Cricetulus griseus: one gene and its partner. The protein of the gene in region 1 interacts with the protein of each later gene in a pairwise test. Links are inferred from orthologs where the notes say so. Each region holds a gene or a part of one and is shown on either strand. Other genes may lie near its edges.

Region 1 (3,838 bases):
AGAATACTTGGCCCAGCTGGGCTGTGGTAGCGCAAGCCTTTAATCCCAGCACTCGGGAGGCAGAGGCAGGAGGATCTCTGTGGGTTCAAGACCAGCCTGGTCTGCAAAGTGAGTTCTAGGACAGCCAGAGCTACACAGAGAAACCCTGTCTCAAAAAACAAAAACAAACAAAAAACCAAAAATAAGAACAACAAAAAAATTGGGGGGCTGGAGAGATGTCTCACTGGTTAAGAACACTAGCTGGTCTACCAGAGGTCCTGAGTTCAATTCCCAGCAACCACATGGTGGCTCACAACCATCTATAATGAGATCTTGTGCCCTCTTCTGGTGTGCAAGCATGCATGCAGACAAGTGTATACATAATAAATAAATAAAATCTTAAAAAAAAGAAAAACAAAAGAAACAATGACATACTGCTCTTACAGAGGACTCAGGCTTGATTCCCGGATCCCGAATGCTCACACAACCTTGTGTAGACCCAGTTCCAGGGAATCCCATCCTCGGTGGGCACCAAGCATTCACGTGGCGTACATACATATACACATACAGGCAAAACGCTCATACATAAAATTAATAAATTTTTGTTTAAGTTATAAGGATGGAGAGATGGCTCAGCATTTGAGAGTACGTGCAGCTCTTGCAGAGGACCAGAGTTCAATTCCCCCACCCACACGGTGGCCCACAGCCACCTGTGACTTCAGAAGGCAATGCAGGAACACAGTACACAGACACCCAGGCTAAACACCCACCCATACACGCAAACTGAAATGCAAACATTATAAAGTTATCTTAAAAGATATACATATAGATAAAATCAACCAGGTAGATGGGTCCAGCCGGACCGTGTGGGTGTGGGATGTGGGAGGGCCGGAGGGTGCAGGAGGAGCCCCGACAGCCTAACCCGGAGGCAGGCTCCTAGGGCCGCCCAGACCCACGCCCTGCTCCCTCCGCCCGGCACCTGCAGGAAGGGCTGGAACCGCCTCTGCGTGCCCGCCGCTCGTTTCCGCCCTCCCGCTCCTCCCACGCGTGCTGCCCGCTAGCGACCCCGCAGCACCGCGGCCCCGATCCAAGGACCCCCGGGTCCCCTCGGCTCCTCCCGGAAGCGTGGCGCGTGGCGGCCCGGCGGCGCGGATTGGACGCGTGGCACCGACACAGACACCCGGGGGGTGGGACGGAGGTGAGCGAGCACCCGCGGAGATGCGATGGGGAGTCGGCTCCGAGTGCCGCCCGCGGCCGCGCGTGGGGGGCCGTGCACGCGGTGGGGGGAGCGCGTGCCCCCGGTGCGCACCCGGGCCGCCGAGCCCGCCCTCCCGCCGGCGTAGGTGGCGGCCGCGGCCGGCGAGTGAAGGGGAGGGGTCGCCCGCGGCCGGCGCCCCGGGACTCTTATTGTGACAGGGTGGCGCGCTGTGCTTAGTCACCGTGACCCGCGCGGCGGAGGCGGAGGCGGAGCGCGGCCATGGCGGGGTGAGTGCGCCGCTCCGGGCCGGGGCCCGGGATCAGGCCCTGCGGGCCCTCCAGGCGTCTGGGCTGCGCCTCCGAGCGAGCGGTGGGGAGGCCGCCGGAGCAGGCGCCGGGCACCGGGTCGTCGCTGCGCAGCCCCCTGCGCAATGCCAGGCCTGTGCTCCGGCAGTGTGGTCACGCGTGACAGTCGCTCACTTACTGGGGCCCTGGTGCGTTCCACCGCCCCCGGCACCCCCACCGTGGTGCTCTCATAGACATCCTAACACCGGGAGGGGGATGCGATTCCAGCCTGAGCCCCAAAACCCTCGCCCCACATCCCCGATTCAAAATATACCGCGTCCCCTGGCCCCAGCTCTCCAGGGGGCTCCTGGGTCCCTGTATAGCCCATGGTGGGCATTCCTGATGCCCACACTTTCTGCCCCAGAACCTTGGCACCCAGTGTTTCCTCTACACTGTATTTTCAGGCCTCCTCTCTCTTCCTGCTGTGTTCCTGGAGCTCTGAACAGTGCCTACTACATACTTGGCAGGCTCTGTAAATTTTGGTGAGGTGTTGAAGAAAGGAATTTGGCTTGTTGGAGGCAGGGAAGGGAAGGATGGCTGGGACAGTGAGCGAAGAGGTTGGAAAGGGGCTGACTTTGTGGGCCTTTGCAGGCCATTGAGGTAGGTTTCCATTCTTGGGCTTGTTGAAAGGTGTTGGGCGATTCTGAGCAGAAAGGGACATGATGTGATATGTTTCTTAGACGAGCCTTCAGGCGAGTGAGTTGGGACTAATTAGTTTGAATGGAGTCAGGATTATGCAGTTTACTTGGCTTGGCAAACTGTTCTAGAAACTTTTGCTTAATTTTTCTAAAGGAAGCCTGACTGGGCATGGCGGCACACACTGTAATCCCAGCACAGAGGAGGATCAGTAGTTCAAGAGCCCGCCTTAGTTAAATGGTGAATTTGAGGCTAACTTGGGCTCCCAAAGACCCTATCTCCAAAAAAAAAAAACAAAAAGGAAAGACAGAAAAGGAAGCGTTGCAAGGTCTGTCCTCACCTATTCCCAGCTCTGTACTCTTCCCTCCCTCCAGGACCCTAACTGCTAGTGGTGGAATTGTAACTTGTCACCCGGAACCCCATGCAGCCAGAACCCAGGCCTAGCGGGGCTCCCCGCAGCAGCCAGTTCCTGCCCCTGTCGTCAAAGTGCCCCGAGGGGGCCGGGGACGCGGTGATGTACGCCTCCACGGAGTGCAAGGCCGAGGTGACGCCCTCCCAGGACGGCAACCGCACCTTCAGCTACACGCTAGAGGACCACACCAAGCAGGCTTTTGGCATCATGAATGAGCTTCGGCTGAGCCAGCAGCTCTGTGATGTGACCCTGCAGGTCAAATACGAGGACATCCCAGCTGCCCAATTCATGGCTCACAAGGTGGTGCTGGCCTCTTCCAGCCCTGTCTTTAAGGCCATGTTCACCAATGGGCTTCGGGAGCAGGGAATGGAGGTGGTGTCCATTGAAGGTATCCACCCTAAGGTCATGGAGAGGCTTATTGAGTTCGCCTACACGGCCTCCATCTCCGTGGGCGAGAAGTGTGTGCTGCACGTGATGAATGGTGCAGTCATGTATCAGATTGACAGTGTGGTCCGAGCCTGCAGCGACTTCCTCGTGCAGCAGCTGGACCCTAGCAATGCCATTGGCATTGCCAACTTCGCTGAGCAGATTGGCTGCACTGAGCTTCACCAGCGTGCCCGGGAGTATATCTACATGCACTTTGGGGAGGTGAGTCAGGGCTGGGGCCTGGGCTCAGCTGTCACCAGGAGTGAGACAGGCCAACATAGCCATCTCCCCTGGAGACTGGAACAGTCATTCAAGTTTGGAGGAAAGCTTCTGTTTGGTATTTTCTTTTTATTTCCTCCTTTTCCCCCATAGAGTCTCATGTAGCCCAGGCTGGCCCTAATCTGGTTATGTAGCCAAGGATGACTTTAAACTCCTGATTCATCTGCCTCTGTCTCTCTCTCTCTTTTTTTAAGATTTATTTATTATGTATACAGCATTCTGCTTCCATTCTGCCTCCATATATGCCTGCACGCCAGAAGAACGCATCAGATCTCATTAGAGATGGTTGTGAGCCACCATGTGGGTGCTGGGAATTGAACTCAGAACCTCTGGAAGAACAGCCAGTGCTCTTAACCTCTGAGCCATCTCTCCAGCCCCTCTGTCTCTTAAGTACTGGAATTACAGACATTCATAATCACAATTGACTTAAGTGGTACTGGGATGGAGCCCAGGGCTTTGTGCTTGAAAAGCCATCCCCAGGACTACTTTTTTTTTTTTTTTTTTTTTTTTTTTTTTTTTTTTTTTTTTTTTTGCTTGTTTGCTTGCTGGCTTGTTTGTTGTGAG
Region 2 (3,909 bases), on another chromosome or scaffold:
CTTTTTGCAGCTACTCAAACATATTAGGCCCCGCTACAGATAAATTTACTCATTCTCCCTTCTTCAATTCAGAATTAGACTCCGTGTCAATGCACTCTCATGTGTATGACAGCTGGGTTTAGTGATTCACATCTGTAACCCCATCACTCCGAGGGCTGAGGCAGGAGTATTGCCCGGATTTTGAGGCCAACACCAAGATCCTCTCTCAAACAAACGAAACTCTAAAAATGATTTACGGCTGTTAGGTGGCCGTGGCGCCAGCAAGCCAGCAATTGGTAGGTAGAAGCAAGCAGCCTCCTGTACAAAGTTCCAGGACAGCCAGGGTTACAGAGAAACCCTGTCTCGAAAAAATAAAAAAGTTCACGAACGGTTATAAACTCAACTGGATTGTGAACTCCATTAGGGTTATATTACTTACTCGGTTCACCTCTTTATCCAGAAAAACGTGATCTAGCACTTGCTCCGAGTTCAAATATTTGAATGCACACAAGTGAAGCGAAGGGAGAGACAATTGGAAAGCTTAACTCTTAACAGTTCCAACGTTTCCAACATTCTCCCCACCTCTACGCTAACAGTTAAAAAACAACAACACGCATGCTCTCAGATACTCTGGGTCTCCAACCTCAGGCAACCCTTTCACCCTTCAACCCCCAGAAGTCCCAGATCCAAAGAGAACCCGCAGTAGCTAGCAACGAAACGATAGGAAACCCTCCTGCGCAGCCGATCGGCTCCAGCCTCGGCGAAGTTCCTGATCCAATCCTAAAGGCCAGAATTCTGAACTTTTGTTCGCGAAGCCACGATGAGGTGTGGCGCACCGCATATGGTCAGCGATAAAGCTTTTCAAACAGCTTAGACCGCACGCACGTACATACGCGTCGGTCCGAGAAGCTAGACTCTGCGTGGCAGAGCTTCAGATGTCCATTCACGTTAATGGGGAAGAACGAAAGACAACGACCACTCTCTCGCGCCCTTTAAGAGCCACCCCCATTCCAGCCCGTAGAAGCTGAGAAAATGCTCGCGAGAGCCACCGGATTCACCCCGCTTCCTCCTCCAGGCTAGCCGGGCCGGAAGGAAGGCGGTACCTCCCGCTTCCTGGCCTATACCTCACAAGGCAGCACGACCGCACAAGCAGCCAATCAGCTCGCCTCTTGTAAGCAGAGTCGCGGAGAACCAATGGGAAGTCGCGGCGCGCGCAAAGCTTCTCTTCGTCGCACAGGCCCCCTCCCTTCCGCCCGCCGCCTTCCACTCCGCCCCTGGCGGAGGAAGTGAGATCAGAGGCCCCATGTGAGCGGATTGCAACACATGCAGCTGCCTGGAGAGAGGGAGCCGGTGTCCTACGTCAGAGCCGCCGCCGCCGCGGAGCCGCCGCCGGGGAGGAGCAGCCGCTACCGCCCAGGACTGGGCCCTTAGGTAAAGCGGGCGTAGGAAAGGCCGGCGCCCTATGCGGCGGGCTGTCGGGGCGGGGAGAAGAGGGCAGCTCGGGAGGTGGCGAAGAAGGGGGCCGCTCTGCCCCAGCGGCGGCGCTAACTCTGTGGTCTTGGTGTCTCCGGGCCCCGCCGGGCCGCTCTAGGGAGGAGGAGGCGAGAAGATGGCGGACGACCCCAGTGCTGCCGATAGGAACGTGGAGATCTGGAAGATCAAGAAGCTCATTAAGAGCTTGGAGGCGGCCCGCGGGTGAGCGCCGCGTCCGGCCCCCCCGAGCCCTCTTGGATCCCGGACCCCTCAGGATGGCCGCCCCCGCGCCGCATGGCCGGATGAGGAGAACCCGGCACTAGCCAACTCCCGCCTTCTGGACCTCTGGGTAGTAGCCTCTGACTGGAGGGCGAGGGTCGGCGCGGCTGGCCGGGAAAGAAGTCCTTCCCCCCCTTGGGGGTAAGGAGCCTGGTTCCCACGGCTCAGATCACTCGGCCCCCTCTCTGGAGAAAGCCACTGCTACTTTCGTAACCCTGTCGAGCCCTTAAATACAGCTCCTCACTTTTTGGGCTCTTGGTGCTGCCACCCGACTTGGATGCTGTTGGGGGAAGTACTTGGCGTTCCTTTCCGAACGTCCTACCCTGATTTTTCTCTCTTCCTCTCTCTTCACGTTCCTCAGACAGGCCTCATTAAAATGGCCTCCCCCACTTGGACTTACAAGTCCGGTGTGGGTGAAGTTTTGATGGTTGTAAAGAAGAGTTGGCCAAGAGAGATCTTCCTGGCTCACTTTTGTTTCTCTGGGTCTTAGACCTCTCCGAAGGTGACTTCCCCTAAGTTTTCTGAGTACCCTGGAGTTTCCTGGTTTTAGTTGCTCCAGGACTCGCCTATAAACCGAAAATACCAGCGTAAGCCGGATGGGGTGATGGTGGTTTTTGCTAACAAATCTGTTGTGTGCATATTCAAGTGAATTCCAGATAATGGGGGTGTTTGATAGTGTGTCCGTTTCTAGGTGAATAAGCGAGGTTGAAAGCAGCCATATGTTTTGTGTGAGAGTGTGCCAAAGGTATTTGTGTTTCTTCCATGTAGTTTGTTACTTTCCGAATTAATAAAAACTTTTTACTACTTGGGGTGTCCTCACCCTAAAAGTGGAACGTTATATATTCCTGCACTCCAGAGCATTTTTATAGGAGAGTGGCTTTCTTCCAGGTCATGTAAGGAAGTTAATTTCAGCACACAAATGAGACATTTTGTTTTTCAGCTCAAGTTTGTCACTGATGGGTAGCTTGATGGTGATATAGTGACCACCTTGGCACTAAGTTCATTCACTTTTTGAAATGGATTTGGCTTGATTCTAAAGTGCATGGTTTTAAAGCAGGATGCTTTTGCTTTGGTGTTTCATTGTTAATAAGTGAGCAGCACTAATTTCTGTTTGGGGTTAGACTTCTGAACGTTTGGCTCTATTTGGTGTTGTGTTCGTTCCTTTGATGTGTAGTATAAAAACTTGAGTTGAAGGTAGATGATTTTATTGTTATTATTTCTTAGGGTGTTTTTTTAATTTATTGGAATATAAAGACTTACTCATAGGAGCATGTACCATGTGGCAGAGTGAAAATAAATAATCCCAAATGTAAAAATACTGTATAGGAATGTTAATATAGGCCTGATTCATTATGATGCTAAGAATTAGCCGGGTACTATTGTTTCAGTAGGCTATCTTCTGTTGTTACTTAAAGCTTTCTGTGGGTTACTGACGTTTATGGATTACTGATGTTACACTGTTTCAAGTTGGACTGGAACCTGTAGGTTGTGTCTCAGTGCTTTCATTTTCATTTAGGCAGGTTCTTAGCTGAGCAGAGGTGGTGCTCGCCTTTAGTCCCAGGAGGCAGAGGCAGGCAGGGAGATCTGAGTTCGAGGCCAGCCTTGTCTACAGAGTTCCAGGAGAGGCTCCAAAGCTACACAGAAACCCTGTCTTGAAAAAACAAAAAAATAATTTGGATATAGTGTATTCTGTGAAGCAGTTAAAATATGAATTTATTAATTTGCTTATTTGAGTGACATTAACATTGGAGACAACACTTCTTAATAAGCTAATTTTCTTTCTCCTGGTTGATGAACAAACTAATTCTTAGATTTGTTCCGAGCCATAGTTCCTAACTACTTGAAAGTTTTAAGGCTCTCTTAAAAAGCCTTTGGAAACTTTACTTTCTAGTTTAGAAAAGTTCAGTAAAGTTTGAAGCATGCTGAACAGCATTTTAGACATGATTACTCTGTCCATAATAGCTAGGGACTCTTCTTCTAAACAAATAATGTGGTTTATAATCTTGTCCTACTTTGCTTAATAAGTTAGCCAGGACTTGGTTGCACCTTGAGCCCATGGAAATGTTAAGATCCTGTCCATCTCAGATGTTGGTCAGGGAGTGAAAAGTTTATTGTATGTGGCTCAGAACTGTCTTGGTAATCAGTTTCTTTTGGGAAATGACAAGATTTAATTTCCAT

Evidence for each region.
Region 2: the proteins of Keap1 (region 1) and Etf1 interact in binary tests that used the Homo sapiens proteins (3 or more experiments, as listed by UniProt). The two-hybrid records come from large-scale screens. The link is inferred for Cricetulus griseus from reciprocal best matches to the Homo sapiens genes KEAP1 and ETF1.

Annotation. Positions count from the first base shown.
Region 1 is NC_048597.1:134,095,593-134,099,430, reverse strand, and holds the start of Keap1 (kelch-like ECH-associated protein 1), read left to right. Parts: upstream 1-929; 5' UTR 930-1,177; intron 1,178-1,314; exon of another isoform or gene 1,315-1,464; intron 1,465-1,502; exon of another isoform or gene 1,503-1,670; intron 1,671-1,686; exon of another isoform or gene 1,687-1,925; 5' UTR 1,926-2,121; intron 2,122-2,531; 5' UTR 2,532-2,578; coding exon 2,579-3,217; intron 3,218-3,838. UniProt on the Homo sapiens protein: Substrate-specific adapter of a BCR (BTB-CUL3-RBX1) E3 ubiquitin ligase complex that regulates the response to oxidative stress by targeting NFE2L2/NRF2 for ubiquitination.
Region 2 is NC_048595.1:202,567,286-202,571,194, forward strand, and holds the start of Etf1 (eukaryotic peptide chain release factor subunit 1), read left to right. Parts: upstream 1-1,252; 5' UTR 1,253-1,410; intron 1,411-1,570; 5' UTR 1,571-1,588; coding exon 1,589-1,674; intron 1,675-3,909. UniProt on the Homo sapiens protein: Component of the eRF1-eRF3-GTP ternary complex, a ternary complex that mediates translation termination in response to the termination codons. The eRF1-eRF3-GTP complex binds to a stop codon in the ribosomal A-site.